Linked DNA regions of Pelodiscus sinensis. The protein of the gene in region 1 purifies or fractionates together with the protein of each later gene. This does not show direct contact. Links are inferred from orthologs where the notes say so. Each region holds a gene or a part of one and is shown on either strand. Other genes may lie near its edges.

Evidence for each region.
Region 2: the proteins of WWP2 (region 1) and GPN1 purify together in Homo sapiens (affinity purification with mass spectrometry; 3 studies listed by BioGRID and IntAct, with this or other methods). This does not show direct contact. The link is inferred for Pelodiscus sinensis from reciprocal best matches to the Homo sapiens genes WWP2 and GPN1.
Region 3: the proteins of WWP2 (region 1) and POLR2D purify together in Homo sapiens (affinity purification with mass spectrometry; 3 studies listed by BioGRID and IntAct, with this or other methods). This does not show direct contact. The link is inferred for Pelodiscus sinensis from reciprocal best matches to the Homo sapiens genes WWP2 and POLR2D.
Region 4: the proteins of WWP2 (region 1) and CPSF6 purify together in Homo sapiens (affinity purification with mass spectrometry; 3 studies listed by BioGRID and IntAct, counting the BioPlex papers as one, with this or other methods). This does not show direct contact. The link is inferred for Pelodiscus sinensis from reciprocal best matches to the Homo sapiens genes WWP2 and CPSF6.

Annotation. Positions count from the first base shown.
Region 1 is NC_134722.1:1,626,626-1,634,605, forward strand, and holds the start of WWP2 (NEDD4-like E3 ubiquitin-protein ligase WWP2), read right to left. Parts: upstream 3,011-7,980; 5' UTR 2,919-3,010; coding exon 2,883-2,918; intron 1-2,882. Other genes in the region: RNA-binding protein NOB1, read left to right, coding at 3,032-3,133, 4,348-4,480, 5,391-5,524, 6,667-6,738, 7,173-7,313, 7,484-7,702. UniProt on the Homo sapiens protein: E3 ubiquitin-protein ligase which accepts ubiquitin from an E2 ubiquitin-conjugating enzyme in the form of a thioester and then directly transfers the ubiquitin to targeted substrates.
Region 2 is NW_027465901.1:118,038-124,902, forward strand, and holds the start of GPN1 (GPN-loop GTPase 1), read right to left. Parts: upstream 3,012-6,865; 5' UTR 2,899-3,011; coding exon 2,812-2,898; intron 2,693-2,811; coding exon 2,599-2,692; intron 1-2,598. UniProt on the Homo sapiens protein: Small GTPase required for proper nuclear import of RNA polymerase II (RNAPII). May act at an RNAP assembly step prior to nuclear import.
Region 3 is NC_134720.1:5,692,356-5,699,282, forward strand, and holds the start of POLR2D (DNA-directed RNA polymerase II subunit RPB4), read right to left. Parts: upstream 3,011-6,927; 5' UTR 2,802-3,010; coding exon 2,729-2,801; intron 1,224-2,728; coding exon 1,043-1,223; intron 320-1,042; coding exon 224-319; intron 1-223. UniProt on the Homo sapiens protein: Core component of RNA polymerase II (Pol II), a DNA-dependent RNA polymerase which synthesizes mRNA precursors and many functional non-coding RNAs using the four ribonucleoside triphosphates as substrates.
Region 4 is NC_134711.1:63,706,852-63,714,346, forward strand, and holds the start of CPSF6 (cleavage and polyadenylation specificity factor subunit 6), read left to right. Parts: upstream 1-4,478; 5' UTR 4,479-4,575; coding exon 4,576-4,635; intron 4,636-7,495. UniProt on the Homo sapiens protein: Component of the cleavage factor Im (CFIm) complex that functions as an activator of the pre-mRNA 3'-end cleavage and polyadenylation processing required for the maturation of pre-mRNA into functional mRNAs.

The DNA.
Region 1 (7,980 bases):
TTCCCAGCTTCCTTAGCAGGCCGCCTGCATGCCACGGCCCAGGCGCTCTCAGCAGCTGCTCCCAGCAGTTAGGAGAAGGAGGAGGAAGAGGAAGAGGACGAGGACCTGCATGGGGGGAGGGATAGCTCAGTGGTTTGAGCATTGGCCTGCTAAACCCAGAGTTGTGAGTTCAATCCTTGCGGAGCCCAGTTGGGGGCAAAAATTTGTCAGGGATGGTATTTGGTCCTGCTGTGAAGCCAGGGGACTAGACTCAACTTGATGACCTTTCAAGGTCCCTTCCAGCTCTAGGAGATAGACAACCTCCATTAATTTGAATTACACAGCAGGTGACAATAGCAGGCCACAGGCACATGGCATCTATCCACCCCAGACACTCACAGCTCCACCCCCACCCTGCAGGATCCTTCTGTGGCTAGAAAGCCCCTTTACACTGACAGGGGCTGTGGGCTGCTTTAACAGCTGATGCGTGACTAACCCAGTCACACAGGAAGGCCTCTAGCCCCGTAGGAGCAAGCCAGCTCTGCCCAACCCCTCTCTTCCCTGCATGCTCTGGACTGATGGAGCTGAGGAAATAACCAAAGGCTTGTATGCCCCCACTGCATTTGCAGCCAGGCTTGTGGCAGTGAACACGTAGGCAGGAGCGCATGAGCGATGCTGGAACGTGCACGTTCCTGCTGCCGCCAAGGAGCTAAATGTCAAAGTACCATTGGTAGATGTAAACGAACCGTGAGACAAATGGGGCAGTTTGCACTTCTCAAGGCTACTGATGAACTGTCCTGCCAAGGCGGCAGCAGCCGGCCTTGCTTTCACAGCGGGAGGGGGCTAGGGAGAAAACTGGAGCCAGACTGGTGCAAAATCCTGGGACAGGACCTGCACCCAATGCCACAGAATACACAGGCCCTGCCCTGCCCACTACACACACAGGCTACATCTACACTGGCCCCTTTTCCAGAAGGGGCATGTTAATTTCACCTGTAGTAGGAGGGAAAGTAGTAGGGAAAGCTGCGGGGGATTTAAATATCCCCCGCAGCATTTAAATAAAAATGTCCACCCCTTTTTTCCGGCTTTTCCGGCTTTTAAAAAAGCCAGAAAAGAGCATCTACACTGGCCCCGATCCTCCGGAAAAAGCACCCTTTCCGGAGGCTCTTATTCCTTTGAAGTAGGAATAAGAGCCTCCGGAAAAGGGCGCTTTTTCCGGAGGATCGGGGCCAGTGTAGACGCTCTTTTCCGGCTTTTTTAAAAGCCAGAAAAAAGCGGCGGACATTTTTATTTAAATGCCGCGGGGGATATTTAAATCCCCTGCGGCTTTCCCTACTACGATAGGTGAAATTAACATGCCCCTTCCGGAAAAGGGGCCAGTGTAGACGAGCCCACAGAGCTGGAAACACTGCCCAGCCACCCCACCCACTAGGGGCAAACATGCAGGCTCACCCACCTCATAGCACCTGGCTACTTGTGGGATGCTGTGCCTCAGGGAGTCTTTCAGATCAGTTTCTGGCATGAAGTAAAGGAAGTGGCACATGCCCTTGAAACACTGGCCAGCTTCCAGGGGGGATGGTCTCCTGCTTTCTGCCCTCTCCCCCCACAACCCAATAGCCATTGAGCTGGTGCAATGTGCACACAAGAATATCTGCTGCTCCACTGCACCCCCCCCAGCCACAGGGGAGGGAGAACTACACAGAGCTAGCCGCAGATTCAGGAAGGCAGCTCAGACTCTGAGCTTATAAAAGGTCTTTGCACTCCTAAGGGCTGCACAAAAGCTGTGGCTACCCGGAAAGTTTTCGATCCAACAGGGGATAAGCACCCAGGTGGATTTTTGATTTTTGGTTCCAGCCCTGAGCGTGTGGGTCTTTAAGATGAATCTAAACTGCACGTGACTTTACTACACAGAATCTAAAGCACAAGGGGTGACTCCAATAGTAACACACGTCACCAATTTGGAGGAACAGATCACAAAACAATTCACAGGCGCTGGGGCCCTGACACAAGAGGGCCCCTCACCACGTTCACAAGCGGGAGGAAGCGGATTTGCAACCAAGCTCCAGTACTAGGAATTTCTTCCGTAAGCGCAGCTGCTCTCTTGGTGGAGTTGTCCTAACAAGCTGTAAAGCTCCACCCCTTTGTGTGTGTGAACAGATCACTAGGATATAAACCTCCAGTCCACGCAGACCTTGAATCCTGCACCCAGTTCTAGTCACCCCAGCTCAGAAAGGACACAGTGGAAGTGGACACGGTTAGCAGGGAGGGACACAGACGTTGGAGGCTACGGCGTGGTTTCCACACAAGGAAAGATTAAAAAGACACAGACTGCTCTGAGCGGTCTGCACGGGCCCTTCTGCTAAAGGACTGTACCCGAAGGGAGCAGCGCAGTATCCCCGCCAGAGGCGCTGATTTCTCACACGAGAGTCCGGGTTCAAGCGGCCCGTGCAGACAGGTCTAGACGCAGCCCCGGGCTGGAAAGGGGACGATGCCGGATCCCCCACTGGCCCGGCCCCACGGAGCCCAGGATGAACCAGCCCACGGACAGGACCCCCCCGCGGCCCGGGGGAGCAGAGGACGGAGGCTCTTGGCGGACTAAGGAAGCGGCGAGACCCCCCCCCCCGCCCGGCCCGGACTCGCCCGCGGGTCCGACGCGTTTCCGGCCCCAGGCCCCCGGGAGCGGCCCCGCTGCTGCGCGGGGCCCGGCGGGGGGGGGGGGGGGGGGCCGGGACCGGGTCTCGGCGGGGGGGGGGGCGCCCCGGGACCGGGTCTCGGCGGGGGGGGGGCCGTGGGGAGGCGGCGCAGGGCCCGGGGGAGCCTCGAGCCGCGTTACGGGCCCGGCCCAGGACACACGCGGGGGGGGGGGGAGATGCCGAGCCCCCCCCCGACCCCTCTGCATTTACCGGCGACGGCTTCGCCTCCACTTCCGGCTCCGGCATTCGCGATCACGTGACGCCGGCTCGCCACCTGACTCGCGGCCCGGAAGCGCGTCACGGGGGGGAGGGGGAACTCCCGGCGTGCCCCGCGACCGCCGCATACTGCCGCTCCCAGAATGCATCGCGAGCTCGCCCCGGGCTGTGCGTGCGCCAAGATGGCGGCGGTGGAGCACGTCGTGGCGGACGCGGGGGCCTTTCTGCGCGGGGCGCCGCTGCAGGTAGAGCGGGGGGGGGCGGGGACCCTGCGGCAGGGAGTTCCGCGGGCCCCGGCCCTCGGGCAGCCCCAGGGCGGGGGGGGCCCCCCGCCCTCACCAGCGGCGCCCGGAGAAAGGGGGGGTCCTGCAACTGGCTGCGGCACCCCCCGACCCTGAGTCACGTCGCTCGCGAGGGGCGGAGCTGGGGGGGCGCAGCCGCAGACCTGCCAGGCGTCATGTGACTGCCCCCCCCCCGCCAGTCGCCCGAGCCCTCAGGGACTCTTCGCCCGTGGCTGCTCCCCCCCCCCCCCCCCACGAACCGACACGCGAAGGGCCCTTCTCTCTCCTCCCAGGGCAGCTGCTTCGGGGGGCCTTGGCCGGGAAAGGGCCTCTCCCCCCCCCCCCCGTCACCTTTTGTCCACGTGTTGGTTGAAAAATCAAAGAATTTGAATAGTTCCTCAGTAATTCAGGCGGGTTGAGGGCCGAGTGCCCTTTGCAAAAGCCCTGCTGGCCCTTCCCAACAAATCCTGTTCCGCGAGGGGTCTGAGCATTTTGGTTTTTTTTTTATTATAGTTTCAACCAGTTCGCCTGGTGCGGAAGTCAGAGTTAGCGACCAGCGATTGCCGGGATTTCCTGTGGCGCCTTCTTTTAAAATGGGCATCATGATAATTGTTCTCTAGTGACCTGTTCCAGAAGCTGATTTGAGCAGTAGGTTACATGCCATAGAAAATAGCTTTGTAATTGCATATTTTAGAGAAATGTTCATATTTCATACTATCTGGCCCTAGTTACTGCTGAATTTATCTCAGAACTTCTTTTCTATCAGCACGTCAATCTGGAACAATTCCTCTGACTTATCACCTACAAATAATAGCTCAAGTGTGAGAATCTGCCTCATGTTCTCTGCAGCAAAGGCTGATGCAAATAATTCATTTAGCTTCTCCAGAACGGCCTTATCTTGCCTAAGTCATCCAGTGACCCCACTAATAACTGTAGAGCAGGGAAGCCAGGTTTTTGTCTGCCCTGGGAGCCCCTTTCCCAGCTGGATGGTGGGAGGGTGTTGTTATGAGTGCTCTTGTCTCAGTGTCTGGCTCCACGGTGATGGGCGTTGTGTATGGAGCTGCTTTTGGATCACACCAGGCTGGCTACGGAACTGGGCATCCCCAGGTCCTTTCTGGTCTTGGTCATTTGTCTTTTAGTTCCCAGTAGCAGAAATTCTTGTGTTTCTCATACACCAGGACTTCGGCAGAAACGTTTACACAATTAAGGAGGTGGTGAGTGAAATCCGGGACAAGGAGACCAGGAGGCGACTGGCCGTGCTGCCCTATGAGCTTCACTTCAAACAGCCCTTCCCTGAGTATGTTAAACTAGGTAAGTGAGCTGGCCTCATGGGCACCTGGCAGAGCACTACGGCAGCTGCCCACAGCCAACTCCAGTGGCCTTCCTGCCAGGGCCGGTACTCGCACGGCTTTACTCACAACAGCTGTGCTCGTTGTAGTTTGTCTACTCTGGATTCTATGAAGCACAGGTCAAGGTGAAAGTCCCATTCCTTTATTTAGCTCCTGCTCCTGCGAGAGAAACAAACCATTGTGTCGGCTTGACAAAGCCCTGGCTGGGTTGATTTAGTTGGGATTGGTCCTGCCTAGAGCAGGGGGCTGGACTTGATGACCTTCTGAGGTCTCTTCCAGCTCTATGGTTCTATGATTGTAAGTATCAAACGTGCTCTCACCATTAGTGCTATGAATTTGCTCCCTAGCTTAGCGCAATAGTTTTTACTTTGGCTTCTAATCAGGTTTGCTTCCTAGTTCTTGGGACATAGGACAAGGCTGTGATTTCTGGGGGGAAAGTTCACGGAGAGGAGGATAGCGTTCAAGTAAAACTGTTTTTGGGGAATGAATCTTTGATCTGCTTATCCCATTGCTACTAAAACCTACCTCTTAACCTTACTGTCATTAGTCAAGAGAAAGTGACACTACCTCTGGATTCTGCGCTCTTTAAGAGAGCAGCACCCCTCCCCCCCCTTTACGTACAGCTAGCCATGGACCAGAAGAAAAGACCTGAGGAAGAGATTTAAAGAGAAAATGCCCTTAGGAATTGAGGGTTTGGGGAAGAATTCTCAATAGACGGGAGTGTTCAAAGAAAAGAACAGCCTATTTAGGTACCCCGAGTCCCCCCGCTGTATTCATATATTTCTAGGAGGCCTCCCTAAGAGCCGTGTGTCTGCGAACCGTCGGACTCAGGCAGGACTCCCCCCTGTGACCACACACTCACTTTGTTACAGTGACAGAATTCTCAAAAAAGACAGGCGACTACCCCAGCCTGTCAGCCACAGATCTCCAGGTGCTAGCCCTGACCTACCAGCTGGAGGCAGAGACCGTTGGAGTGGCTCATCTGAAGACAGAACCAGAAAAAAAGGTAAACTCCCTTGAGTGACGCATCCAGGCTTCTGCCATGGTGCTGGGTGGATGAATGGGCGGGTCACACGTTTCGTGGGGAGGTACAATGCTGGGGGGGAGGAGCTTAATTCCAATTCTTGGTGTAAAATTTGGGCTGAATCTATTTTTGTGACTTGGTGCCATGTCACATGACCCTTTGTCTGGTCTCCAAAAAGCACTTCTGGGTAGCCGAGAAATTTGAAAAACAAATAATTGAAAAGAAGCATCTGGCTGCAATAAAGAATGTAGGTAAAACATTAGCTCTGAAACACTTGCGTTAAAAGAATTGTACAGCTGCACGGCCGTAGTCACCTCGCCCCGTTCCCCCCTCAAAATAAATCCAGTCTCTCTAAAATGCACAGCACAGAAAGTACAATACTGCGTGATGCGTGTAAACAGCTGTCAGTCAATACACTAGGTAAATGTGTGTGACTGCAAGGTAGGGTCTGTCACTTCTTACGAACACCTCATGGGTGAAATCTGCAACATAAAAGGGTTCTAAAGCCCCACGTTTGGCCCAGCGCAGATTCTTTAGTGCAGGTGCTGCAGAACCCCGCTGTAAGGCTGCGTTCCCAGCCAGCGGGTCACGCCCCTCTGCCTCCAACACTCAGCAATAGTGCTGAGGGGGGAAGGATGTTAGGGGCAGAGCTGTGACCTTGCAAGGACTCTGAGCAGCATTGCCACCTGCTGGGCAGCCTCCCTGGCTGCCCTAACTCTGGTGGCCCTGTGGGATTTGATTTCTGCTGGGAACCGCTCCATCCCCAGAGCCGGGGAGGCATAAAGGCAGCGCAAGCCCCATGCACTCCCCTCACCTGGATGTGGCCCAGCTTAGGAAACCAGTTCCCCCGCAAAGTAAGCATGTAGGGTGAGATCCTGGGGACTGAACCATGCTTGGGGGGCCTGTTTTAGCCATGAGTTGAAGTGTAATCATCCGCCAGCTGTTCAGCATCTTCCACTCGGTTTGGAAAGCCAGTCCAGTCAACTCAGCTCCATGGCTGGAGGGGTTCTGGAGAGATGCCCCAGGCCGTCCCGGTGTTCTGGCCTGGGAACTAGCCCAGGCCGGTCCGGGTCTGGAGTTCTGCTTTGCCTGCTAACCCCATTGCTGCTCTTAATCCCCCGCAGGTTCAGCTGAGCTCCACCATCCGGCATCCAGAGGCGCCTGTGAATATCGCTGGGTTCCACCTGCCATCCAAGGTACCTGTTTGCATGCGCCGGGATAACCCTCTGGGGGTCCTCCAGGGGAAGGTGCTAGCAGGGGGAAAAGAGCCTTCCACGCCCACAAAGGCTCATTTCCGGTGAGGTTGCCTGAGAGCGTTGTATCCCGGGAAACTGAGGCAGGGGGTGTTTCATCACAGGCAGTGTCAGGACAGGAGTGGAGCTCGCAGAACCTGGCCCTGCGAACGGTTACAGGGTTGCCTGTGCTGGCCTCCTCCCTTCATGCTCTCGCTTCTCTTCCAGGGCCTCCCGGCTCCTTGGGAGTGTCCCATCGTTCTGCACGTTAATCCTCTGTCCCCACTGCCTGTCTAGGATCAAGCAGTCAGGCCTGGGCACCAAGGAGGCAGCGGCAGCCCCAGGCTCTGGGGATGTCCCAGCAGTCTAGTAACTTTGTTGTATTTATTCTCCCCCAGTCCCAGCGCCTGGAGGCGGATGCGTGCGTGTCCACCTCGGCAAGCCGCCCGCGGGCAGCAGAGGACAGCCCCGAGTTCGGGGCCTTCCTGTACTGGAGGAACCCTCTGCCCAGCATCGAAGAGGACCTGCAGGAGCTTCTGGTGAGAGGCAGTCGGGGCTCTTGAATTCCCTTGTCTTTCCCCAGCTCGTTTCAGCTGGATTCTCTCCCTGGCTCGCGGATGTTCGGTTGGCGCCCCCTCCTCGGGCGGCACTCCCCTCTCCTGCCTGCGTGCTGCATGGGACGCCTCTGACAGCATCTCTCGCCCTGCAGAAAGCTCACACCGTTTCCCTGAGCCCCGAGGTCCCAGCGACATTGCCGCCTGGGATGGATCAGGAGAGCGCTGGGGAGGAGGGAAGTGACGGGGACAGCGACGACGGAGAAGGCTGGATAACGCCCGACAACATCAAACGGATCCAGCAGGGGATGGGGCATTGCGATGCTCCTGCCAACGTGCAGGTCGGCTGCGTGACCACAGACTTTGCCATGCAGGTAAGGAAGGGCTGGGGGACTGTAGTTCTGCCCTAGAGGGACGGGGGCCAAAGCACAGGGCAGGACATCATTGAGCACGTCCACACCAGCCAAGTCTCCCAGACGCGATCGCAGCATGAGAAGCAAAGCGCCTTGGTCTGAAACTGGCTCAAAGAGAGACCAGGCAGGAACCAAGGGGCAGTTGTTAACCTGGCGTCCCCAGCACGTAGAGGAACGGCAGAGGGGTGTGCACCAGCGGCCCTGTACGACAGAAAAGGGGCGAACCGAGGGGCTCGCCT
Region 2 (6,865 bases), on another chromosome or scaffold:
AGGAGGAAGAAGAGGAGTTGTGGGGGACAGGAACAAGGGAGAGGTTAGTGGGGGAACAGGAAGGGGGACAGGTGGAGCCATCCCAGCAACTACTCTGTGCTAGGCCCCAAACATCATAGAGATGCAGAAACACAGGCCCCAGGGCAACCCAGAGGATGGGGGGGGGGGGGGGGGGCGGAAGAGAGACGGGCTGGTGCTGACAATAGGGGTCAGGCCTACTCCCACACTCACTGATGGAAAGCAGTGGTGCAACAGGGCCTCACCTCATTCTATTTTGCAGGCTCCCACTGCAGCACTGCACTCAAGAGTATGGGGGAGGGGCACTGGGGAAAGGAATAGGGGGATGGAGGGTGCAAGCAGGGTGCAAGAGCCTGGAACTTGGGGGAGGGGTATTGTCCCAACATCCCAGGAATGGCCCTGTAAAGCTGTGAGCTAGCTGAAAGATACGAGGGGGGGGGGGGGGGCGGGGGAGCTGACCAGAAGGAAACAGTGAGCAGTGCCAGTGGCTGGGCACATAAGAACAGCCGTACTGGGTCAGACCAAAGGTCCATCTAGCCCAGCATCCTGTCTGCCGACAGTGGCCAGCACCAGGTGCCCCAGAGAGGGTGGACTGAAGACATTTATCAAGCGATTTGTCTCCTGCCATCCCTCTCCAGCCTCTGACAAACACAGGCCAACAACACCATTTTATCCCCTGGCTAATAGCCTTTTATGGACCTAACCTCCATGAAATTATCTAGCTTCTCTTTAAACTCTATTATAGTCCTAGCCTTCACCGCCTCCTCTGGCAAGGAGCTGCACAGGCTGACTACACGCTGTGTGAAGAAGAACTTTCTTTTATTAGTTTTAAACCTGCTACCCATTTAATTTCATTTGGTGTCCTCTAGTTCTTCTATTTAGGGAACTAATAAATAACTTTTCTTTATTGGCCCTCTCCATACCACTCATGATTTTATATACTTCTATCATATCCCTCCCTCAGTCTCCTCTTTTCTAAACTGAAAAGTCCCAGTCGCTTTAACCTCTCCTCATATGGGACCTGTTCCAAACCCCTAATCATTTTAGTTGCCCTTTTGTGAACCCTTTCCAAGGCCAAAATATCTTTTCTGAGGTGAGGAGACCACATCTGTACGCAGTATTAAAGATGTGGGAGTACCATAGTTTTATACAGGGGCAGTAAGATATTCTGGGTCTTATTTTCTATCCCTTTCCTAATAATTCCTAGCATCCTATTTGCCTTTTTGACCGCCACTGCACACTGTGTGGAAGTTTTCAGAGAACTGTCCACGATAACTCCAAGATCTCTTTCCTGATTTGTCGTAGCCAAATTAGCCCCCATCATACTGTACATATAGTTGGGGTTATTTTTCCCCAATGTGCATTACTTTACACTTATCCACATTGAATTTCTTTTGCCATTTTGTTGCCCAATCACTCAGTTTGGTGAGATCTTCTTGGAGTCCCTCACAGTCTGCTTCTGTCGTGACTATCCTAAACAGTTTTGTATCATCCGCAAACTTTACTACCTCACTGCTTACCCCTTTCTCCAGATCATTTATGAATAAGTTGAAGAGGATTGGTCCCAGGACTGATCCTTGGGAGACACCACTAGTTACCCCTTTCCAATCTGAAAATTTACCATTTATTCCTACCCTTTGTTTCCTGTCTTTTAACCAGTTCTCAATCCAAGAAAGGACCTTCCCTCTTATCCCATGGCCATGTAATTTACACAAGAGCCTTTGGTGAGGGACCTTGTCAAAGGCTTTCTGAAAATCCAAGTATACTATATCTACTGGATCACCCTTGTCTGCATGTTTGTTAACCCCTTCAAAGAACTCTAACAGATTAGTAAGACAGGATTTCCCTTTACAGAAACCATGTTGACTTTTGTCCAACAAATTATGTTCTTCTACATGCTTCACAATTTTATTCTTCACTATTGTTTCGACTAATTTGCCCGGTACTGAAGTTAGACTTACCGGTCTGTAATTGCCAGGATGGCCTCTAGAGCCCTTTTTAAATATTGGTGTCACGTTGGCTACCTTCCAGTCATTAGGTACGGAAGACGGTTTAAAGGATAGGTTACAAACGACAGATAAATGGGAAATTGCTGAGCTATTGAGTTCTTTTAGGACCCTTGAATGAATGCCGTCCGGTCCCGGAGATTTGTTAACAAAGTTTTTCTATCTGTTCCAAAACCTCCTCTAACAACACTTCAATCCGGGACAGCTCCTCAGATTCATTACCCACAAAGGACGGTGCAGATTCGGGACTCTCCCCAACCTCAGCCATGAAGACTGAAGCAAAGAAATCATTTAGTTTCTCCACAATGGCTTTACTTTACAACCTGTGGTGGGCCAAAAGATGGGCCACCAGAGCTAGTGCTGCCTGTAGCTGCCTAACGTCCCATCCCTATGCATAACACAGTGCACCACTAAACTTAGGGCATCCCTATGGTGCCCTGCACAGCTGTGCACGCCTGGGCGCGGCGTCCGGCTCTGAACGAAGACGCACAGACACCGCAGAGCGCTGAGAAGACAGCGAACTGCACGTGAGGAAAAGCGCGAGACCCGCCCGAGGGCGGAGCGAGCGACTCACCGATGTTGGCAGGAAACGGAAGCTCGTGCACCGCAGGGTCCAGGTTGATGACGTAGGGCGGGCGCCCCTGGCTGTGCAGATGGGCGGTGAGCCTCTGCGGAGGAGAGGGCGATGTGACGTGACGTGAGTGACCCCCCCACACACACACTTTTCCCGTCCCCCCACCCCCGGAAAGCGGAGCCCCCGCCTCACGCGGAGCGCGAATCTCCTCACCTGCACCAGGGTGGTTTTCCCGGAGCCCGCCATGCCCAGCACCAGCACGCAGACCGGTGGGGCCGCCTCCTCCGCTGCAGCCGCCATCTCGCTACTGTCCCTTCCGCTTCCGGCACACAGAAAGGTGCTTGGGACCGGAAGCGGAAACGGCTCGCTCCAGGCTACTCTTCGGCCCGGATGTTCAGCGCTCCTACCCCGCGACAGCAGTTCCCCCAGGCGGCCTAGCACCCCGCCCTCTAGCGCTGCCTGGCCACGCCCCTCCAGCACCTCTCCTCGCAGCCTGTACTGCCCAGCCCCCTGCCCGGCCACACCCCCTTATCCCCCAGCACCTCCCCTCGCAGCCTGTACTGCCGAGCCCCCTGCCCGGCCACACCCCCTTATCCCCCAGCACCTCCCCTCGCAGCCTGTACTGCCCAGCCCCCTGCCCGGCCACACCCCCTTATCCCCCAGCACCTCCCCTCGCAGCCTGTACTGCCCAGCCCCCTGCCCGGCCACACCCTCTTATCCCCCAGCACCTCCCCTCGCAGCCTGTACTGCCCAGCCCCCTGCCCGGCCACACCCCCTTATCCCCCAGCACCTCCCCTCGCAGCCTGTACTGCCCAGCCCCCTGCCCGGCCACACCCCCTTATCCCCCAGCACCTCCCCTCGCAGCCTGTACTGCCCAGCCCCCTGCCCGGCCACACCCCCTTATCCCCCAGCACCTCCCCTCGCAGCCTGTACTGCCCAGCCCCCTGCCCGGCCACACCCCCTTATCCCCCAGCACCTCCCCTCGCAGCCTGTACTGCCCAGCCCCCTGCCCGGCCACACCCCCTTATCCCCCAGCACCTCCCCTCGCAGCCTGTACTGCCCAGCCCCCTGCCCGGCCACACCCCCTTATCCCCCAGCACCTCTCCTCGCAGCCTGTACTGCCCAGCCCCCTGCCCGGCCACACCCCCTTATCCCCCAGCACCTCCCCTCGCAGCCTGTACTGCCCAGCCCCCTGCCCGGCCACACCCACTTATCCCCCAGCACCTCCCCTCGCAGCCTGTACTGCCCAGCCCCCTGCCCGGCCACACCCCCTTATCCCCCAGCACCTCCCCTCGCAGCCTGTACTGCCCAGCCCCCTGCCCGGCCACACCCACTTATCCCCCAGCACCTCCCCTCGCAGCCTGTACTGCCCAGCCCCCTGCCCGGCCACACCCCCTTATCCCCCAGCACCTCCCCTCGCAGCCTGTACTGCCCAGCCCCCTGCCCGGCCACACCCCCTTATCCCCCAGCACCTCCCCTCGCAGCCTGTACTGCCCAGCCCCCTGCCCGGCCACACCCCTCCGCCCCCCAGCATCTCCCCTCGCAGCCTGTACTGCCCAGCGCCCCGCCCTCTAACGCTGCCTGGCCACGCCCCTCCGCCCCCCCAGCACCTCCCCTCGCAGCCTGCACTGCCCAGCCCCCTGCCCGGCCACACCCACTTATCCCCCAGCACCTCCCCTCGCAGCCTGAGGGCGGAGGGGGGGCGGAGGGGGACTGGGCAGTACAGGCTGCGAGGGGAGGTGCTGGGAGGCAGAGGGGCGTGGCCAGGCAGCGCTAGAGGGCGGGGGGCTGGGCAGTACAGGCTGCGAGGGGTGGTGCTGGGAGGCAGAGGGGCGTTGCCAGGCAGCGCTAGAGGGCGGGGCGCTGGGCAGTACAGGCTGCGAGGGGAGGTGCTGGGGGGCGGAGGGGCGTGGCCAGGCAGCGCTAGAGGGCGGGACGCTGGGCAGTACAGGCTGCGTGGGGAGGTGCTGGGGGGCGGAGGGGCGTGGCCAGGCAGCGCTAGAGGGCGGGACGCTGGGCAGTACAGGCTGCGAGGGGAGGTGCTGGGGGGCGGAGGGGTGTGGCCGGGCAGGGGGCTGGGCAGTACTAGCGCTGCCTGGCCACACCCCTCCGCCCCCCAGCGCCTCCCCTTACAGCCTGCGCTGCCCAGCGCATCTCTGCCTACCAGCGCTCAGCCACTGCCCGCCTCGCCGCCGCCAGCAGCTCCCCAGGGCAATCTAGCTTTTCTCTCCCAATCTGCACAGCCCAGCACCCCAGAATCTTAGCACTGCCTGCAGACACAGACAACCCCTCTCCACCTCCTAGTGCCACAGCCTTTCTCCCCTGTCCTCTTAGCACTGCCTTCAGGCACAGACAAATCCTCTGCTCCCAGTGCTACAGCCTTTCTCCTGGTCGTCTTAGCACCACCTGGGGGCACACTGACAACTACTGCTGCTCCCAAGGCAACAGCCCTTTTCAATGAATGCAGGTCTTGGATGCCCTGTATCAGAAGATAGTGTTCACCCTTGGGCAGAAGGTGTACATGGCATCAGATTGTATCCACAAAAGATACATGGCTCCATGGGCTGGCATCCTGCATCTCTCATGCCGCCTTCTGGCACACTGTCTGGTAAAGACTGGAGTTCTGCTATGGATTGTGGGGTCCTCATTCCTCCCAGGGAATTTTGAATCTGTGGGTGTTGAATTCCCAGAAATCCCTCAGTTCAATCCCATAATTTACTCTTATTTCTTGTTTGATTGTGCTCCTGAAACTATGGACACAACACTGAGCAGTGATGCTCTCAGGTCCATGTTATGGCCAGGACAAGGCATGCTCTTCTATTTCCAACCCCACCATGCTCAGAGACAGGGTATCAAGATGAGCAGCCAGCCCATGGCTAAAGGAGGAGGAGTTGCACTGTATGTAAGAGAGCAATAGAACTGCTCAGAGCTCCAGTATATAGAGGGAGAAAAGTCTGTTGAGAGTCTATAGGTTAAGTTTAGAGGTAGGAGCAACAGGGGTGATGTTGTGGTTGGTGTCTGCTATAGCTCACTGGATCAGGTTGATGAGGTGGACGAGGCACTATATGTGAAAAAAAATTAGAATCAAATGAAGTAAAAATCTTAAATGAATCAACATGTCCCATAGAATCTCTATGCATAGTAATTCTCTGCTCTAATAAGAATATAACAGTAGAGATCTATTATTGACCACCTAACCAGGACAATGATAGTGACTATGAAATGCTAAGGGAGATTAGAGAGGCTAACAAAATAAAGAACTCAATAATAGTGCGGGATTTCAATTATCCCCCTATTGACTGTCAATTATCCCCATATTACATGTCACCTCAGGACAAATTGCAGAGACAAAATTTCTTGATACCTGAAACAACTGCTTCTTGGAGCAGCTGGTACAGGAACCCACAAGGGGAGAGGCAATTCTCAATTTAGTCCTGAATGGAGCACAGGATCTAGTCCAAGATGTAACTATAACAGGACCACTCAGAAATAGTGACCATAATATAATAACATTTAACATTCCTGTGGTGGGAAGAACACTTCAGCAGCCCATGACTGTAGCATTTAAGTTCAGAAAGGGAAACTATGCAAAAATGGGGTGGTTAGTTAAACAGAAATTAAAAGGTACAGTGACTAAAGTAAAATCCCTGCAAGCTGCATGGACACTTTTCAAAGACACCATAATAGAGGCCCAACTTAAATGTACACCCCAAATTAAAAAAACACAGTAAAAGAACTAAAAAGGAGCCACTGTGGCTTAACAAAATAATAAAATAAATAATAATAATAAAGGAGATTGCCTATCTCCTAGAACCAGAAGGGAACTTGCAAGGTCATTGAGTCCAGTCCCCTGCCTTCACAACAGGACCAAGTACCATCCCTGATGAATTTTTGCCCCAAATCCCTAAATGGCCTCTGCAAGGATTAAACTCACAACCTGGGGTTTAGCAGGCCAATGCTCAAACCTCTGAGCTATCCCTCCCCCATGTAAAAGAAGCAGCAATAGATAAAAAGGCATCTTTTAAAAAGTGGAAGTCAAACCCTAGTGAGGTTAATAAAAAGGAGCATAAACACTGCCAAATTAAGTGTAAAAATGTAGTAAGAAAAGCCAAAAAGGAGTTTGAAGAACAGCTAGACAAAAACTCAAAAGGTAATAAAATATTTTTTAAGTACGTAGACTTCCAATAATCTGGAACCTTTGGGACCTAAGTGGTGCCAGATTATCGGATATGCTGGACTATCAGGAGGTACTATAAAATGTAGTGTA
Region 3 (6,927 bases), on another chromosome or scaffold:
TACTGATCAGTTTCAGGATATGAAATTAGAAGGGTGCCATACTCAGGAACAGATGTAAACAAAGATATCTGACTGACATCATGCAGAATTGTACCTTGTAGGCCATCCCACAGTGGCTATGAAATGCTGACTACAAATGGGAAACAATAGATCAGCTCAGTTTTCCACTTATTCCTGCATCTTGGAACCCATAAATCATAAAACCAAAGTCATAAATTCTCACCTGGGAATCAAAGCCTTGGCCTCCTCAGCTGTCTCGGGACACAGATTAGCCAAACATGCCAATTCAAATTTATGGAGCTTTTTCTGGAGCAACAAACTACAGAAAAAGAAAATGGTAAGGGTAGAGATAAAACAGAATAAATAAAAAAGAAGAAAGGAAAAGAATGTGAAAGAAACTAAACTGCTGACATTCTCCTGACAGAACTGTGAATAAGGAATGGAGATGAGAAAAAGAGCAATATAAGTTGTAATTTTTATTATGAATATAACTCTTATTGCTAGTAAGAAAAAAAAGTCATACACGATAACCCCAGCAAGCCTCCAAAAAAGAAAAGCTAGAAAAGTCCTTTTATCTACCACAACCTATTATCATATATTATCATATCATACCAAAAGAGCTCTGGGGGCTCAGCCTGGGGCCTCTTATTACCCAGTCTAATACAAGTGCTCTCAACCTGGACGTCATGATTCTTCAAAAGTCACAAGTTTTTTACATGGAATTGTGTGAGCTGTCAGCCTCCAGCCCCAAAATCATGTTTTGCCTCCCGCATTTATAGTAGCATTAAATATATTTTTAAAATGTGTTTTAATGTATAAGGGGAATAGCACTCAGAAGCTTGCTGTGTGAAAGGGATCACCAATGCAAAGGTGTTTGAGAACCACTGCTCTAATGGAATCTTACTAAGTCCCTCACTCCCCCAGAAATATACAACTAAGATCTCTAGAACAACCCTGTTCCTGGAAATAATTAACATGTTTCAACTTCATAATATAGAACATACACTACAATAACTCATCTTTCCTTGGCGCTCTCACTCACCTACGGACACTGGCAATGGTCTCTCGGTTTTTGAAGCGGCTAAAGCGAGCCGTGTAGTTCAGAGTTTTCATGAAGACTTCAGAGAGCTCCTGCTCATCCTCAGCACTCTCGTTCTGTTGTTTACGATGCTCAAGAAGCATGTGCACTTCTGAATTTAGAAGCGTCTCAGCAGTTTCAAATTCTGTACACGAGCAAGTGAATATCAGTGTGAGGGGGAGATAAGGACACCAACAAAGAAGCCAATTCTTACATGCTTTGTTTCATGCTCAGATATAGCTGCAGAGAAAGGAAAATGAGCCAGAGACATAGCTTTGACAGAAAATCCTGTATTCCATAACTTGGAAGCCATTACTAATGAGAATATAATTCCTCCAAGGCCAGACAAATAGGTTTACAATACTGAGTTGCACTCCAGGTATTTTTAACTTTTTGATCATACATATTTAAATTGCCAGCCCAATCTTTTGAGGTAATCATATTTTTGTAATGAATTATTACTCAGTAGACACAAAGGTCTGAAATAAAAGACAAATATTAAAAGGATAGTACTGCAAAGGCTTTTTTTTTTTTTACACTACTTCTTTTTTAACTTAGTTAAATCAGGAATGGCAAGAGTGGTTTTCTGTGGTTTTGCTAGAGAGCTTCTTGCAGTTTTGAGGGATGTTTACTGCTAGCACCTTAATTAAAGGATCCTGAATATTTAACAAAGGCTTTCATTATCAGAAATGTTAATTTAGTTGTTGAAATTAAACAGGCAATAACAAAAAACAAGTTTGAAACAGTCTGACTATAGATCATTTTCCCTCTCGTAGATAAACTTCTTTCTCAGCTCTTGCTTTTTAACCATTTCATTAATTTGTTTGACTTCAAGTGTGTTTATGAGACTAGATGGGGTATGAATTTCTGGTGCAAAAAAGCAACTAGACTGCACATATTTCTGGTTTCCATTTACATCATAGCAGAGTATAAGCCCATTTTTCCCATTTTGGGGACACCTTGAAGGAACAAATATAGCTATTTAAATATTACTATTTTGAATTATATTGATATGTACACTATTTTTCAGAGTCATTCAGAATATTTGCAACAGAATTTACTGGCAATTGGTAATCCCGCTTTCAATGCTTCAATAGTTGGTTTCCAGTCAATAATTGTAAAATAGTCTCACGGGCAGCAATACCTGTGTGCCAAGGATCATCGATCAGAAAAACTAGAGTTCTTCAGATCAATCCCAGAGATCACTGAACTGTGACAGCCTGATACAGCTCGGAGTGTTTTACATACAACCCTGCGACAGGGACTGTCTTTTTGTCCTGTATTTGCACAGCACCTAGTAGAGGTTCCCGGCAAGGGGGCGCTTCAGCCGCAATCGTGCCCCTTTGACGCACTGAAAAGCCTTGCGAGACGCTATTTCAAGAACGATCCGCGCGGGGCTAGTCCGGCTGGAACCGGGCGGCTTAGCGCTCGGGCAGCGCGGGCTGCCACGGCTCGTTCTCTTCGCAGCGCCCCTGCCTGTGGGGACTGGCAGCGACCCAGAGCTGGGAAATGGGACTGGGCGGCCCGGTTCAACGCCAGCACCAGGGGCCGGGGCGGGCCACGCTTCCTCCCCGCCCCGCAGGGGGAATCTTCCCCGCCCGTCCGCCCCCAGCTCCCGGGCGTGTCCCCCGCGGATCGAGCCCCGCGCACCTTTGGGGAAGACGAGCTGCGAGGCGTCCTCCTCCACGTCCGCGGCGCGCGCCTCGCCGCCTCCGGCCGCCATCGCCTCAGCCGGCAGCGGCTTCCCCTGGCGAGCGGGGGCTGCCGGGAGCCCTCGCGCTCCTCCCGCCGCGCGGCGGCCGGGCCCAGACTTCCCCAGCTCCCGCCAGGGGGCGGGCGTCTGCTGCGCGCGCTGCGGCCTAGCGCCAGGCCCGCTCCCTCAGCTGTCGGGCGCGGCAGGGAAAAGCCCGGTGGGGACCAGCCCCCTGCGAGCTTTCCCCCAGGGACCAGGCTCCTCCCTCAGCCAGAGCCTTCTCCTGACTGCCCCTAGGGCCGCCTCCACGCGCGCAGCTAGTCGGGAATAGCCTGGCCCGAAACACCACGGCTGTGTCTAGACTGGCAAGTTTTTCTGCAAAATCAGCTGCTTTTTGGCGGAAAAACTTGCCAGCTGTCTACACTGGCCGCTTGACTTTCCGCAAAAGCACGGACGATCTCATGTAGCTGGTCAGTGCTTTTGCGGCAATACTATGCTGCTCCCGTTCGGGCAAAAGTCTTTTTCCAAAAACTTTTGCGCCAAAGCGCCAGTGTAAACAGCAGAGATTTGGTTTCCGCAAAAAAAGCCCCGATCGCGAAAATGGCGATCGGGGCTTTTTTGCGGAAAAGCGTCCTGCCAATCAAGACGCGCTTTTCCAAAAATGCTTTTAACGGAAAACTTTTCCGTTGAAAGCATTTCCGGAAAATCATGCCAGTGTAGACGTAGCCCACCTCTGCGCTGCCGGGTAGCCTCAGAATGAGCCTGACGCAGGGGTAGACGTGCCTTCTCGGTTTGCAGCCCCAAGAGGAGCATGGCCCTGGGGACGGGCCGTTTCCAAATAGCAGAAGTGGAGCATCTGCACACGCCTCATTCTGAAATAGCCATTGCGGATTGGCATTATTCTTCATAGAATGAGTTTACAGATATCGGAATAAGCCGTCCATTATGTTGAAATAATAGAACTGTGTGTAGACGCTCGCTGTTATTCCAAAATAATTTTGCTGTATGGACACACCCTACCAGTGCTCCATACAAGAAATAAAGTGACTCAGACACAGATCCACCTGACCCAACGGCTGCTTCTGCAATCACTTACATCCTGTATGGCAGAAATAAGGGAAGGAACCAAAGAACCTCTCCAAAAAGCAAATTACCCACTACTTTTCCCAACACTGTTGCATAGGAAACACTCTTGCAATGCATCTGCTGGGAAAAAAGACTCACCATCTTTCTTGGTTGGTAAAAGCCGCCACAGACTCTTAACAGCCTACTTTTGACCACAATGAGAGGAAATGCGTTCAGTTATTCTGATATATGCAGGTGTGGCCAGGGCCGGCCCAAGCCCTTTTGGTGCCCCAGGCATGCAGTGCTGCCACAGGCACATGGTGCATGCGTGGGCCCGCCTGTGGGGCACAGGCCTGGCTATCAAGGGAGCACGGGCCCGCCCACAGGGCACACGGTGCATTCGTGGGCCGGCCACGGCCACTGGCGTGCAGCCCGGGGCCTGCCCCCGGGGCGCACAGTACATGCGCTGCCCAGCCCAGCCTGGCCAGCGCTGCTGGCACGCGCTCCAGGCCATGCAGGGCCCCACGGCCGTGGGGGGAAGAGCGCTGCAGGCCAGCGCCGCGGGGCCAGCACTACGGGAGCCGGGCGCGCAGCGCCTGATGGCAGCTATAAGGGACGCCACACGCCCCTTGCAGCTGCCATCAGGCGCCCCTCATCGGTTGGCGCCCTGGGCAGTTGCCCGGCTCGCCCATGCCTCAGTCCGGCCTTGGGTGTGGCCAGTGCTCAGGACCTTGTTGATTATCTAACTATCTATTGCCCATTTCTATATGTCTTTTCCAGAGTAAGATTATTGAGATGATGCAGTTGTAGCAACATTTGGTATCTACCACTATTTCAGACTATTTCCCGTTATGTCAGAGCTGGACATAGTGTGTAGGTATTGTTGGCTATATTGATAGATGCTCTTACAGCCTCATGTGTATGTCTTTACACATAAGGGACCCAGCGGCAAGCAGGCAATGGAGTGAATTCTGCTGTGGCTGAGGGGCTAGCGCATTTGCCTGTGGAAACATAGGGTGGTGGGTTCAAGGCTGGAGGAAGGGGGCATAAGGGATCTGTCAGAGATAGTCTCTGGAAGTTGATCTAAGATGCTGCCTGTCCTATGGTTGCTAATACTCCAAATTGTCTTGCAGTCTCCATGAATTAAAGATTGTTTTGTCCTCTTCTTCTTAAACCCTTGCACTCCAAGTGGAGCATAGGTTATCTATGACCTATGTAGGGACAACTTAGTGGCTTGAGCATTGGCCAAGGTTGTGAGTTCAATCCTTGATGGGGCCATTTAGGGATCTGGGGCAAATCTGTCAGGGATGGTACTTGGTCCTGCTGTGAAGGTCCCTTCCAGCTCTGAGAGAGGTATATTTCCATGTATGATATTAACTCTCCAACTTCATTCTGTCTTGAGACAAAACTTCTAGCTGACTCCAGGAGTACCCGAGTTGTCCTTCAATCTCAGTAGATATTCTCCATGTTGTCTGAGGTTTTCCTCTTTTGCATTTTCCTTGGGGGTTCCATGTGAGAGTTTAACTGACTATGCAGGGTGATGGTTTTCTGAGAGTGTGGCCTAGCCATCCCCACTTTCTTCTCTTCATTTGAACATCAAGTGGTTCTTGTCCTGCTCTGTTCCAAAGCTCCTCATTTGTGACAAAGTCTTGCCATTTGATGTGAAGGATGTACCTCAGGCATCTGTTTATGGATGTATGTAGCTTGTGATTTGAAGACTTTTTAGTAGAATAATTCCTCATTTAACACTACAGGCAGTCTCCGACTTACGCGGATCCGACTTACGTCGGATCCGCACTTACGAACGGGGCTTTCTCGCCCCGGAGGTCGAGGTAGCGGATTGCTACCTGCGAGCTCCGGGGCGAGAAATCCCCGTTCGTAAGCTGCTCCGGTGCCCCTGGTCTGCTGGAGACCGTCTCCAGCAGACCAGCGGCACCGGGCGGGTTCCCACGCTTCTGAGGCTTTGCTCTGGCAAAGCCTCAGAAGCGCGGGAACCCGCCGCTGCTGCCGCTTCAGTCGCGGTGCCTGTGGTCTGCTGAGGACGGTCCCCAGCAGACCACAGGCAGGGGACTGAAGCGGCAGCAGCTGCGGTTCCCCGCGCTTCTGAGACTTTGCTTTGGCAAAGCCTCAGAAGCGGGGGAACCCGCCCGCTGCTGCCGCTTCAGTCCCCTGTCTGTGGTCTGCAGGGGACCGTCCTCAGCAGACCACAGGCACCGCGACTGAAGCGGCAGCAGCGGCGGGTTCCCGCGCTTCTGAGGCTTTGCTCTGGCAAAGCCTCAGAAGCATGGGAACCCGCCCGGTGCCGCTGGTCTGCTGGAGACGGTCTCCAGCAGACCAGGGGCACCGGAGCAAAGCCAAAGCAAAGTCTCAGAAGCACGGGGAACCGCCGCTGCTGCCGCTTCAGTCCCCTGCCTGTGGTCTGCTGGGGACCGTCCCCAGCAGACCACAGGCACCGGGACTGAAGCCGCAGCCGCGGGGGGGTCCCGCGCCTCTGAGGCTTTGCCAGAGGAAAGCCTCAGAGGCGCGGCACCCCGCTGCCGCTGCGGCTCTGCTCCTGTATCCCTGGTCTGCTGAGGAGAGGAGGGGGCGCGGCTAGTGTGCCCCCCCCCAGCAGACCAGGCTTTTGTTTTGGACCCTGGAGCAGAGCAGCTGGGGCTGCCATTTGGTCCTGCAGCGCCTTCTGGGCACTACTGGACCAACCCGGCAGCACCCTAGCTGCTCTGCCCCAGGTCCTGATTCAGCCGCTGCTGGTCAGTTTCAGCAGTGGCTGAATCAGGACGCCTGGGGCAGAGCAGCTGGGGTGCTGCTGGGTTGGTCCAGTAGCGCCAAGGAGCGGTGCTACTGGAGCAACCCAGCAGCACCCCAGCTGCTCTGCCCCAGGCGTCCCCAAGTCAGCCGCTGCTGAAGCTGACCAGCGCTGACTACAGGAAGCCCGAGGCAGAGTTGCTCTGCCCCAGGCTTCCTGGAATCAGGTGCTGATCAGTTTCAGCAGCAGCTGACTTGGGGAAGCTTGGGGTTCTTAAATTGAATCTGTATGTAAGTCAGAACTGGCGGTCAGTTTCAGCAGCAGCTGAATCTGGACGCCAGTTCC
Region 4 (7,495 bases), on another chromosome or scaffold:
TTGCACATCCCAAACTTGAAATGAAATTAATGAAAGTTGCAATGTGCAAGGAATGGAGGATGGCTGTCCTCAAAAAATAAGATTTACATTGCAATCAAGGGCTTGTCTACACAGGAATGTCATACAGGTATAAGCTAAGTGCTAAGGTGTGAATTTAAACTGAGATAGTTATACCAATATAACTCCCCATGTTGATGCTTAGTGCATCTTACTTTGGAAGGTGTTTAAGATACCCCTCCCTCAATCACTCGAATAAGAGTGCCTTATGGAAGGGATAATGGTATAACTCAATGAATTTAAATATTCCAGTACAGTAAAAAAATCTTCATGGTGTCTACTAAAGAAAAAACAGACTACTACAGGAAATTAATAGATGAGCTTGAATAATGTGTAGAGTCTTTCACATTAAGTAAGTTTACAATATGAACTTTCAACATAACATTACTTATACAAGAATCAAAACAAGTATTACACATACCATATATCTATTATAAACGGTAAGCCTACTCTCTGAACAATTTTGAGAGGTTTACCAGATTACAAAGAGATAGGATGTCTCTGGAATATAAAAACACAGCACAAAGGGCACTGAGAGCCTTATTAAACCATCTTCCTTATGGCATAGGCCAAAGGAAGGGAGATCACTTTTCCTGATTCTTCAAAGACCCACTTTAGGGCTCTCCAATTTCTACAGAGGCACCTGTCAATCAGAAGCATGCAGATCCTCATAAGTATTTAGGTGCCTGTCTGTCTCTTTAGGAGCCTTCATCCACTGTTTAGGCACCACTAATATTTTCAAAATCCTTGTTTAGCTGCTGCCTAACCCCATATGCATCTCAGTCTCATAGGAGCCTAAGTTTCTGTCAGTTGGCATTTGCTAAGCAACCGAAGTTTTGACACCACCCCACAGCTAATGAGCAGCTCTGACGATTAGTTTACACTGAAGCCCAGGAGGCCCCTAGGCAGGATTCTCAAACTAGCCAGAGGATTGCGTATTTGCCAGCAAGACCTGATCCCACAGGCACTCTCTGGGGTAGCCTAAGACTTGATGCCTGTCAAGTCCCACAGCAGGAGGGCTGCAGTCTACCTTTAGGTGTCAGAGACAGCACAGCAGTCACATAAAAGGCTAAGTTGGGAGCACAGGGAAATGGGACAAATCATGAAAGAAATACTGAACAGCAGACTGAGAAAGGGATGGTTTTGGCTACTAGGGCAAGAACCACCTAATTGGCTGACTTGGCTTATGTGTCTAACTCCAGCAGAGGGTCTCTGGCTGAGGAGCCTGAGTGGAGGGAAGTGCCTATTTCTGGCCCATCAGCCACAAGTACCCAGGTAACCTGGCTAGGAGCATATATACGTCTCCTCTCTCCACCTCTTTTCTCAGAATTTCACCTCTGACTAGTTTAGGCTGTTCCCCAATGCCCCCCTCCCTTTAGCTTGGTGATTTCTCAGGCTTTCTTTCCTAGACACCTTGCTTTCCCCAATAGTTGAATGAGGAGCCTGAGTGCCCAATTTGGGGCTGAGGATTCCACTAGATAGCAAACTACCTCAGAGTTAAGCACTGCAATGGTGTGCAGAATTATCTGGGCCATGTTCCTAAAGAGAGCAGAATGGCATTCCCATTCACATTTATTTCCATGCTCTTCTAGTCAAATATCATTAAAATCAACACTTAAAATGCCAAAATGTATCTAAAACTCTGCTAAATGTAATCCCAGCATCTGTGATGATTTGCTTGTCAATTTATTAGCACAGGAACTGGTGTATTTTCTATAGTTCTGCACTCTCTCCAGTTTGGCCTGATGGAAAAAAAGGTTAAAAAGAGTTGAAGTGCTGCACCTATGTCTTTGTATGAAATATCAGGTATTAGATCTGCTTTTCATCAAACAAAAATAAATTACTTCACTGCATTTGAATCGTAATACTTCAGGAACTTCTTAAAATATAATGTCATGGCAAATCCTTCACTTTCCCCCTGCTACTTGGTCAAAATATATTTTAAGATGAGAAAATTTGACTGCAACACTTCTGAGTAATTTTATTCAATAATGTTTCCATCCTCTAAATTTACTTAGGATCCCATTGAGCATGTTTTTAGGTCTCTATTTGTCTTTATCTATCTGTAAACTCATATCAATCAATTTTTTTTCCAGGTAAAGTTGTGAGCTCTTGGATGGGGTAGACCTTCTGGAAGTTCCTGTAAACAGGAAACTCTGGTATAGTTTAGAATGTATTTGAAATATTTTAGCTGTTCCACTTAATATAAGAATTCTACAAGACAGATAGCAACTCTAGAAATGAGGCTCTAGCCAACAATGACTTTACAACTGCTTGAGGAATATTAACGAGTTTTCAGTAAGAGGTAAAAAGGGAAAAAAGGACTCCTTTTTTTGAATATGCAGCATAGTATACATTTGTATTTGCATAATATACATATGTTGCATATACAATGCATACCTAATGAGCCACCATTTCTTTCAGAAGAGGCTCTTGCGCAAGAAGGAGCGTCTACACTGCCCCTTCTTGTGCAAGAAAAACCCTCTTGCGCAATGCCATTACACCTATTACTTTTCAGGAAGAACGGCATTGCGCAAGAGGGTTTTTCTTGCGCAAGAAGGGGCAATGTGGACGCTCCTTCTTGCGCAAGAGCCTCTTCTGAAAAAAATGGTGGCTCATTAGGTATGCAAATGAGGGTCGGCAATATTCCACGCTTAGTCTCATTTGCATATTACTCGTGCAAGAAGCCGCAAGTGTAGATATAGCCTAAGGGTGGTATGGAGAAAGAGAATAGGGAAATGTTATTTAGCCCTTCACATAACTCAAGAACTAACGGTCACCTTATGAAATAAGCAGTAGAAACTCATTGCCAGGGAATGTTCTTCTTCAAGTGATTGCTCATGTCAATTCATAGAATGGACTGTAGGCCTTTCACTTTAGGAGAATGCAGGGTCCAGAATGCCTGGGAGTTAGCAGGGATCCTGGCACTGCAGCAGTGAGCAACCTATTCCCAGCCCATTCTGGTTCCTGTCCCTCCCCTCCGCCCCCCCCATCTGTTCCATTCCCTCTTGCAAACCTCCGCCTTGCCTCTTTCTGTCTTCTGTCTTCTTCCTTGAGTGTCGTAGAGTGGCAAGGGTCACTTTCAGCTGCTAGTGCCAGGCCCCCTGCAGGCCCATATGCAGAAATAACTGTGAGGTGTGCTTTTTTTGTAAATGTGGACCACAAAGGTGTGAACGCACTCCCTATTGTCCCACAAGTAAGCGTGGAAATCAGCCTCAGCCTTCCCCTGGCTGGCCAGAGTATGCTTACTTGGGGGACTGCACCCTTCACCCCCCTCCCTCATGTATGGGCCTGCCCTGGTAGCCTCCAAGGCTATGTCTACACTGGTGGGTTCTTGCACAAGAACATCTTGCGCAAGGGTTCTTGTGTAAGAAGTCTTGCACAAGAACACGTCCATACTGCCATGTGCGAGATGTGCTTTTGCACAAAAGCATCCATGGCAGTGTGAATACTCTCTTGCACAAGAAAGCTGATGGCCATTTTAGCCATAGGGCTTTCTTGCGCAAGGTATCCTTGCCGTGCGTCCACACTGCCCTCCTGCGCAAGAGCTCCTGTGCAAGAGGGCCTACACCTGTTAGAAAAGAGTGTAGCTCTTGTGCAAGAAGTGCTCTCGTACCACGCTGTACTTTAAATCTTCTTCCGCAAGAGCGGGCGGGCAGTGTGGATGGTCTGCGGATTCTTGTGCAAGAAAGGACATTAATAATTGCATTTTAACTTCCTTAGTATGGTGTGTGGGGGCAGTGTGCGAAGCCCCCTGGCTGCCCCTGCGCATCAGAGCCAGAGGGGAGACATGCTGTTACTCCCGAGAGCCATGTGGAGCCACAGCATGCAAAGAGCAGGGCAAGCCCTTGCCTCTGATCTCTGGCTAGAACTCAGGGCTGGTGCCCTAGTCTGCCCTATGGATGGAATGGCTCTGAAAAACATAGGCCCAAACACTGGTGGAACTGGCCCCTGGTCCTGAACGCTGATGAACCATGGATTCATATAAATCACCACTTATTTAGACAGTGCATGGTCCTGCCATGAGGGCAGGGGACTGGACTCGATGACCTCGAGATCCCTTCCAGCTCTATGATTGTGACGAGCTCGATCCATGCTGTGGAGCCGAGGCACCCCTCCAGCCCATGGGGTGCCAAGCTGGGGCCGGCGAGTGCTGCTGAATGGACACATCCTCCTTTAATGGGGCCCCAGTCGCACCCCCCAACGAGCGGGGGAGCCTGGCCAAAGAGCAACCCCGCTGCGGGGGGGGGGGGGACACCTACTCCCTGGCCTGCGGCGCTGAGAAGCTGCCAGCAGCGGGAGGGGCGGCAGCCTGTGTGAGACCCCCGCCCGGGGCGGGCTCAGGCGCACTGGGTGGGCTAGAGCAGCAGCCGGGGGAGAGGATTCGGCACCGAGCGGGTGCAGCAAACGGAAGTTCCCTTCTCCTCCAGGAAGTGACGTCGGCTTCCCCCTCCCCGGCGGCGGCGGCTCTAGTCCCGGGCGCGGCGGGCAGCGGAGGCCCGAGGAGCGGGCGGCATCATGGCGGACGGCGTGGACCACATAGACATCTACGCCGATGTGGGCGAGGAGTTCAGCCAGGTACGCGCGGGGGGGCGGGCGCGGGGCCGCGCGGGGGGGAGGAGGCGGCGCTGCCGCCGCCATTGTTGGGGCAGGCGCCCGGGCGCGGGTTTCCCGCGGAGCACTAGGCCGCTGGTGCAGGCCGCATGCGCGGGGCCCGGCAGCTGGGGGCCCGGCGGGCGGGGGTTGCGCCGCTCGCTCCGACGGGGGCAACACGACTCGGCCCGGAGAGCGGGAGCGGCCTGTGGCAGACCCGCAGCCCGGCGGCCCGATCCTCGTAGCGCTGCCCGCCTCTGCCTGGTGGGGGTGGCTGCGAGGGAGAGACTGTGACGCGCCGAGCAGCACCCGTCTCCGCATAACGCTGAGGTGCTGTAGCACACACCCAGCAACTCCCCCCCCATCTCCAGAGCCCCCTGAAGAGACAGTATTGCACAACCAGTATTTTGTCCCATTTCTGTATCTCCTGAGAGATTATACACAAAGCAACTCTTCCATATCCCTGAGGAGAGCGTGAAGTGACTAACACACTGGAGCAGGATGAACAATATACACCCTGCGGGCCAAGTCCAGCTTAACCAGTTAACTGGTTAAAGGCTGAGACCGGGTGGGGGGGAGGAGTGGTCCTCCCTCCTCTGCCACAGTCTAGGGCGGCACCAGCATCCTCTTGTTTTGTCATCCAGCAGCCACCAGTGGTATGTATCTCCCGACCAGGAACAAAGCCTGCACCTCGCATCCCTTTCTGCACCCCAATACCCTACCTCAGGTCAGAACCTGATCCTGGACCAAAGCTCCCTTCCAGACCCTGCAACTCCTCTTGCACCCCAACCCTTGCTCCAGCTCAAAATCCTGCATGCAAACTAGCGATGTCAGATATCAGGTAATTGAATAGTTGTGTAATTGCATAAAATCTTAATGATTACACAACTATTCGATAGTCCCCAGGGGTGGGGCTGGCAGCCAGTGTGCTCCCAGCCCCATTCCTGGGATGCCCCCTGCAACTCTGCACTACTGCTTCTGTATCAGAGGTGGCTGGGGGAGCTGGTCTGCAAGGAGAGCCAGCTTAAAAACCAGCCCCCCGCGCAGAACAGCTACCTGCCTCTCCATTACTTCTGATACAGAGGTAGCAGCACGGGTTGGAAGCAGCCCTTGTCCATAGGGGGTCCAAGCTCCTCACGGACAGAGACTGCTTTGTGGCTGCCTCTCCCCCCGCTGCCACTGATAGAGGCAACAGCGTGAGGGGGAAGGCAGCACTGTGCTGGGGTGAACTGCCTTTTAATCTGGCTCCCCCCAGGACCAGCTCCTGTCATCCCTCTCCCCCCACTCTTGCTGCCTCTAACAAAGAGGCAGCAATGAGGGTGGGTGGAAATGCATGTAGTCAACAAGATTAACTAATATGCCTAGGCTAATTGGTTAATCATATAGGTGACTACATGTTGACATCCGTAGCTTGTAATCAGCATGCACATCAATTCATATGCTGTTACTTTATGTGTATGTCACTTTAGTAATACTGCTACAGAACACACACAACCAACCCTCCCACCCCCGCCACCAATGGAAACCAGTGGAATCTGACAACCCTGTATGTGGGCAACAGGAAACAAAATGTCTAGCGGGCCACTTATAGAACTCCAGTGGGCTGTATGTGACCGTCATATTGCCCACCACTGCTGAAGAGTATAACACCCAGAGCATGGCCCTGTTTGAGAATAGAGGCTGTGACAGACGGCAAAACCCCGACCAACTCACAACCTGAGGAGACACACACCACTAACTCCCATCTGTGTATCCCCGGAGAACGATGGACACACAAAGAGCAACTCCAGAGAGACACTAACACACAGGAAAATATCTCGCATCTCTATATTGGAAATCACCTTATCCCTTGAAATTCTATAAAACACATGAATCCTACCAGCATCTAAGAGAGTTAGAGATCAGGGATGTGTAAAGATAACTGGCTGACTGATAAGCGTCACACTAAATGGGTAATGCTTACTTCCAGTTAACTATAGGGACTGGAGGATGGGCAGCGGGCTGCTCCATCCTTGTGGGGCCCACCACAGGCAGGGGCTGCTCTGGATGACTGGAGCAACCCCTGTCCATGGCGGGCCCAGCCCACTGCCACATGCTGACTCCCTGGACCCAGGTTACATGCTGATTCCCTGGACCAACCCCTGTGGCAGGGAAGCCTCTTCCCCAGGAGTGGCACCAGCAGCTCTTGCCAACTCTGCTCCCGGGGAAGTGGCTTTGCTTGGGGAGAAGGCTTTATTTAAAGTTTATACTGCAGAGCCTGCTGTGTGTGTAACTAAGATTTTTCAGACTTTAAAAAATTTCATCTTTTTTAACCGACTTTATATCCTTGTTAGCAGGGCTTGACAAACGGCGGTGAAAACTGCTTGCCAGCCCCGTACTGCGCATGTGCAAGAGCCGCATTGCGCATGCGCACGCCACGAATGAACAGGGCTCGTGGCTGAAATCTATTTGCCACGGGCAAGTAGATTGTATGGTTTGTCGAGCCCTGCCTAATTTAGATTCTGTAACACATGCATGAAAATCCTCAGTCTGCAGATAGAGAAAGAAACCAGGGAGCAAGCACAATTTCTTGCCCTGTGCAAGGTCATCTAGTAGGAGAAATTAATATGTGGCAAATTTATCATCCAGAGGGAAGAGAACTGTAAAAATATGCGCTGCATTTTCTTGCAGAATGCAAAAATGAATAACTAAATACTAAGAGAGAAACCAATGGGTCTCCTGAAGGTGAGAGTTGATCCAGTCTTGAGACACTTGGGGCATATACTTTAACAACTGCTTTTGCCTGTTTATGGAGACACATCTCCTTTTTTCCTGTATTGCATACAGCCAACTGGCTTTCATCTGT